2 linked regions of the Bombyx mori genome follow. The protein of the gene in region 2 purifies or fractionates together with the protein of the main gene of each other region. This does not show direct contact. Links are inferred from orthologs where the notes say so. Each region holds a gene or a part of one and is shown on either strand. Other genes may lie near its edges.

Region 1 (2,853 bases), on a different chromosome or scaffold from region 2:
TTATTATTTTGGCATTGATGTTCTAGCGTATATGAGGTCTGATAATAAATTAGCGACATGTAGGCCAAGAGCTTGTTTGTATGTCTACGCCAAATAAACAAAGATTTGTAAGTCCATCAAAAATCGTCTATTGAAAGTATAAATATGACAAAATCGTACTTTGTTTGATTTGACTTGATTTGACTTACCTACTATAGATAGATAAGCGAGGGATGTGATAGTTTTTATTGTCAACAGAAAGATAACCATCCTCCAGTAGAATTATTTTTATCTTATACCTTTAAATTCTTGTATATAAATATATATATAATCTGAATCTTGGAAACGGCTCCAACGATTTTCATAAAATTTAGTATACAGGGGATTTCGGGGGCGATAAATCGATCTAGCTACGATTTATTTTCAGAAAATGTTGTTTATTCGTGTTTTCAATAATCAACTCTTCCCGACATCTATTGGCGAATAATAATACTATTTTTCTTAATTGAGGGCAACTAACCGCTTTAAAGACACAACAAGATGGAGTTATCAAAAAAAAAAAACGAGCAAAGCTCGGTTATCATCTAGTTACCTTTAGAAACGTCGATGCAATTAGTGAGAATAGCAAAAAACACATTTATTATCTATGTGAAAATGCATTTAAAAAAACACTTTCCTAAAAAAGTAATACTAGCAATGCAGCGAAGTACAAAATTATTTTCAAGTATATTTTTATGTACATAAAATTCTAATCTCTGCGTCAACGATATTTTTAGAGGGAAATGTAGGTATGTGATTATTATTAAAAGTTTGGGTACATTGATACATCTTTTTCATTATTATTTTTTAACAATTATTTATAAGTATATTTAATGTTTACTGTGAATGTTTAAATTTATTTTAAATTAGTTTTCGTAAATGGTAAATTTTAAAAAGTTAGTAGCAGAGTAAGAACTGCTTTGGCAACATTAGTGAATTGACCGCTTCCCGTGAGCACATCGTTCGCTTGATCTCGCTCTGTCGATCGAGTCCGGCTGTGGAAGCCATTTTATTTCTGGTGATTGTGACAAAATTGAAAGTACTTTGATAGAACTTTTGCATTTGAAATAAACGTGTCAATGTGTTTTTATATTGGAAGTGTTTTGTGACGTGTAATTGTGATTAGTAAAAATAAGAATGTACGTGCTTAAAATTGGTTTGTGCTGACCTGCCCATATTCTTATACGATCATACCACAAGCATCGATTAGTGCAGTAAAGCGGCCTCTAATAACGGCGAATCGAGGGCATTGGACTGCTTTGTGGTGTGAGCCATGGGCAACAATGCTGCCACCGCTAATAAAAAGGTGGACGCCGCCGAAAGCGTCAAAGAATTCCTCGACCAGGCCAAAGAGGACTTCGAGGAGAAATGGAAGAAGAATCCTACCAACACCGCCGGACTGAACGATTTCGAACGGATAAAAACCCTAGGTACTGGCTCGTTTGGACGAGTCATGATAGTTCAACATAAACCTACTAAAGAATATTACGCTATGAAAATATTAGATAAACAGAAAGTGGTTAAATTGAAACAGGTGGAGCACACTCTAAACGAGAAACGTATCTTACAAGCCATCAACTTTCCGTTTTTGGTGAGCCTTAAATTCCATTTCAAGGACAACTCTAACTTGTACATGGTGTTGGAGTATGTGCCTGGAGGGGAAATGTTCTCGCATTTGCGCAAGGTGGGTCGGTTCTCGGAGCCGCATTCGCGATTCTACGCAGCTCAAATAGTCTTAGCATTTGAGTACCTTCACTATTTGGACCTTATTTATCGGGATCTGAAACCTGAAAACTTGCTAATTGATTCTCAGGGTTACTTAAAAGTTACAGATTTCGGATTCGCTAAACGTGTGAAAGGCCGCACGTGGACTTTGTGCGGCACTCCTGAGTATCTTGCACCTGAAATCATTCTATCCAAGGGATACAACAAAGCTGTGGATTGGTGGGCGTTAGGAGTGCTCGTGTATGAGATGGCGGCTGGCTACCCGCCCTTTTTCGCTGATCAACCCATTCAGATCTATGAAAAAATTGTGTCTGGCAAAGTACGATTTCCATCACATTTTGGTTCAGATCTGAAGGATCTGCTTCGTAACCTACTTCAAGTAGATTTGACCAAACGCTATGGTAACTTGAAGGCTGGTGTCAATGATATAAAAGGTCATAAATGGTTTGCCACCACCGACTGGATTGCCGTCTTCCAGAAGAAGATAGAGGCTCCATTCATACCTCGCTGCAAAGGACCCGGTGACACAAGCAATTTTGATGATTATGAAGAAGAAGCTCTTCGTATTTCTTCCACTGAAAAGTGTGCAAAGGAATTTGCAGAGTTCTGAGCACATAGCTGGTGCCTGCGAGCGGACACTCCCGTGAGTAGGTGTTTTGTTACAGTGAATCTTCCGTGAAAGAGAGTTCGTGGAATAAGAGCTGATTTATCTAGAAACAAGTGGCATTGGGAGTTTATAGACGCTGAAGCGAACCCGAGTTAGCACACTGTGCAGATAAAGTGGAGTGTAGGTGCAATGATAGTAGAAGTGATTTCCGATATTTCGGTGGCGTTCATTTGCTTAGTGCCCTTTCAAGTTGACTAACATAGAGTTGGTAGTGAGAGTTAAAGTTATCCTTGCTGTGGTGATGTCCCTGCATGATTACTCTGACACCTAGTCTGAGCATTACACCAAGCACTACCTAGTTCATTATTTCAGTAGTTATTGTCATTTTGTGGTGTGGTGCTGGAGGTGAGCAGCATTACATTGTTTTTTATGTTTTTATAAAATCAACATTTAAACTTTGTAAGTAGTGTATTAATTGAAAAATATATGTATATATTTATATT
Region 2 (3,944 bases):
TGAGAATATCCGGGGAAAACTCAGGCGATTATGTCTGTGGATTAAGTTGCATGTCGAACACTTCGCCGCCCACTGAGTTTCTTGTTGGATATTCTTAGTGGGTCCGATTCAGTGGTAGATTCTGCGAAGCACTGCCCTTGCTAGGGCTGATTTTAGCAAATTCTCTCAGGTTGAGCCTGTGTGCTCATCTAACCGTAGTTGTAATAATTCCCGGCGAATAGGTAGGAGAAAAAAATATGATAAGAAGGCTACCTAATAGGTCGGGTTGCTTTTTCAAAGAAACCGCGTCTATGATCGCTTTTGGTCTAGAGACCTCGCCACTTTCCTAAGCCGGCTATTGTAAATTATTTTGTGGTCGTTTTTTGTAACAACAAACAAGGAATTTCAATTTTCCACGCTCGAATCGATTCTTTGGTTTTAGATTGAAAATAATAGTTTAAAATTACTAAAAAAAATAAGCTTTTATAAAAATTAAACTAAAAATAGAAAATAAATTTTAATAAATTTGAATTAAAAATAGTGTAAGAAAAAAATGATCTTATTGTAAAAAAAGTGTGGGTGGTTTTCAGGATATGTATTATCAAAATATTTATAACTGTTATAACCATGCACCCCACGGTTTCTTTTTACAATAAATTCATTTATTCTAAATTGTATATCTGTTATGGTGTATATATGGTGCTAATATAGATCCATTAATTTTGAAACTTCCTGTTTTTATTTATTGTTTTGCATTTCTCTGCTCCAGTCTTTTAACGTACATGATATTATGTATTGTCTATTTAGTGTTTCTTCAGGTTTAAATGTGTAATAACGTTGGTTTATTAACTGTTTATTATCTGTGAAAGTGCACAAATATGGGAAAATGAAACAAAGTCGCTGGACGTAACTTCTCGGGATCCTTCAAAAAGTCCACTGAAAAAATCAGTAAATGACCACCATTTTACTGAGATTATATTTCATCGCATATAATCTCATCATATTTCATTTAATTTTATCCCAGTTGATTAATGTCTCAAATTAATCATCTTCATTTCATTTCATGTCATGTTTCACTTCATTTTATTTCATAATGTCATATTTCATAAAATAAAATAAATTTATAAAAGATTAGGCTGTATGGTATGATACTTTTGCCTTTCTATTTGGAAAAATAAAATTACTACATTACGAAGAGAACAAAATATTTTATGTTTATTTACAATACATATGTACGACGACTGGAGCAGAGAAATGCAAATCAATAAATAAAAACAGGAAGTTTCAAAATTAATGGATCTATATTAGCACCATATATACACCATAATAGATATACAACTTTACATTTTAAAATGAATAGCTACGTTATAAATTCATTCGTCGGCGAAGGCTCATTTGGACGTGTTTTTAAAGCAAAACACAAAGATACCGATGCTGTAGTAGCCTTGAAAGTGATAAGGAAGGTATTTATTAAGTTTTTATGACTTTAAATACTTGGTGCCTTCATGATTTCCTAATTTTTTTCTATAAATGTATACCATCAATACAAATAAATTACAAAAAAAACTTGCGAGTGCTTATTAAATCTTCATTTCCACTATTTCCAAAATAATATATTTAATAAGATCATTAATAAAGTGTGATAAAATAATAATTGTACACACAGAGAATGTTATTAACCAGGTTTTCTTACTAGTAAAATTTTAAATGGTCTTATTCAGTTATCATGATCCCAATGTCTTCGCTGTCATAGATATCACGGTCAAACCTCTCGTCATCCACATTAGTTAATAAACAAATATTCTTACACAATAATTCAACATTTTCAGAAAGGTCGCTCGTCTAAAGACTTAAAATGTTTGAAGCAAGAATGCGACATACAGAGGCAATTGAATCATCCAAACATAATTCGGATGATAGACAGTTTCGACACTGATACAGAATTGGTAGTTGTCACAGAATATGCTGAGAAAGAACTACATGGAATATTGGCTAAGGAGGGTTGTCTTAATGAAGAACAAGTGAAGAAGATTACTTGGGACCTTGTGTCTGCACTGTACTACTTACATTCTCATAGAGTTTTACATAGGTAACTTGTTTGTTTCATATTTTATATCAAATAATAATACTAAACACACATTATTAATATTATATCATTATTGATGTAAATAATAATTATATCTAAACATTTTTTGGACCTTGGCAGGGGGCATAGCTAGGTGAAATCAGTATAATTTATTCATTTTTTCTCTATAGCCTGGCTTATAATAGAGACATTCATCTTATATCTCAATGTGGACAGTTATATTGATTGGTTCTGGATACTGAATCTATTAAGATTTATTTAAATAAAAAGATTAATTTGTAAAAAAATTGAGAGTAGGATAGAAAGTTATTATTGTTCTTATAGTTAATATTTAATTTGATCTGAGCTTTTAACGTTGAAATTGGATATTGAAGTAATTCTCATTGCATAAAATTGAGAAAGAAAATAATCATAGAAATATCTATGATTCATTTATTATGATTTTATATTATTCCTGAACATTTATCATACAAAATAACAATTTTAGAGACCTCAAGCCACAAAATGTGCTATTGGATAGTACAGGACGTGCCAAACTCTGTGACTTTGGTCTTGCAAGAATAATGACAAATGCAACACACATTTTAACATCCATCAAAGGCACACCATTGTACATGGCCCCCGAGTTAATTGATGAGAAGCCATATGATCATCAGGTAATTATATTAAAATAGCATTATATAAACAAAGAGTTATACTGTAATTTTCTGTGGAGATGACATGTTTTTACCTATGTCTTCCGTCTGACCTAACTATTCTTAGTAAAACTATAATTAAAAAAAAAAAACTGGTCAATCTGTTGCTTTGTTTTGATGTGAAAGGGCATACAAATACACAATCTAATAACAAACACACTTTCACATTTATAATATTTGTATAGTGTGGAAGTATGGATACTTAGTATGCATGCTGTTCCATCAATGCAGCTATGCTATTATATTATATAGTAATACTTTCAATTTTCAAAATTACATTAATTATTCTTAGTAAAACATTATTTATAACAATAATTGACATATTTTAGAGTACTTTTATTTTAATTTGTCCTTAGCCTAATTAATATAAATCAATAATTTCAGAGATTTTCCTGTACGTAATTAAAAAAAAAAAAACATGAATTTATGCTAATGATAGTTTATTCAACAATATTTTTATGTATGCATATATGGTAGGGTTTATATATTAATTAATCACTTTGCTATAAACAAAAGTGATTATATCGTTAAAACTTCATTTTATACAGATATTTCTGTCACTTTTTATGCACAAATATGCATCAAAACCTCATGGAATATTGTTATTAATCCTAAAGAGTTGCAAACATTTTTGTACATTACAGGGCTCCTTGTGGAAAATTTCAGCACCTATAACAACAGGAGTTAAAAAAATTTGCTATCACAATACTGACTAAATATCAATATAATAATTATCCAAATTGTTTTTTTTTAAGTATAATAATATGGGTGAATAAGCCACTTTGTGCTATGTGGTTACCTGAGCCCATAGATATCTCAATGTGTTTGAGCACACCTATTTTGAGACATTATATTGAGATCTCAATTGTATTTTTATTTTGTGTATTTTTTTCAGGCAGACTTATGGTCACTTGGCTGTATTGTATATGAGCTAATTGCTGGGCAACCACCTTTCTGTACAATGTCTATATGGCAACTTGTCCGCATGATTAGACACAAACCTGTACAGTGGCCTAGTTTCATCAGCACTAATGCTCGGACCTTCCTACAGGTTTGTTTGCTTTTGAGCTCTCACTTCAAGCTTTTAAAACTGCACAAATAATTTAACATTTTACGTTTAATTAAGTTATACTATTTGTACCATTAGTTTAATAGTATTAAAATATTTATTTAGGGCTTATTGC

The links. The genes of interacting proteins can lie anywhere in the genome.
Region 1: the proteins of serine/threonine-protein kinase fused (region 2) and cAMP-dependent protein kinase C1 purify together in Drosophila melanogaster (affinity purification with western blotting; 3 studies listed by BioGRID, with this or other methods). This does not show direct contact. The link is inferred for Bombyx mori from reciprocal best matches to the Drosophila melanogaster genes fu and Pka-C1.

Annotation. Positions count from the first base shown.
Region 1 is NC_085129.1:12,556,043-12,558,895, reverse strand, and holds cAMP-dependent protein kinase C1, read left to right. Parts: upstream 1-1,291; coding exon 1,292-2,353; downstream 2,354-2,853. UniProt on the Drosophila melanogaster protein: Serine/threonine-protein kinase involved in memory formation. Promotes long-term memory by phosphorylating meng and by regulating CrebB protein stability and activity.
Region 2 is NC_085116.1:10,508,243-10,512,186, reverse strand, and holds the start of serine/threonine-protein kinase fused, read left to right. Parts: upstream 1-1,144; 5' UTR 1,145-1,331; coding exon 1,332-1,442; intron 1,443-1,808; coding exon 1,809-2,068; intron 2,069-2,552; coding exon 2,553-2,721; intron 2,722-3,655; coding exon 3,656-3,811; intron 3,812-3,934; coding exon 3,935-3,944. UniProt on the Drosophila melanogaster protein: Probable serine/threonine-protein kinase; maternally required for correct patterning in the posterior part of each embryonic metamere. May be involved in control of cell division during metamorphosis and ovarian development. May interact with costal-2.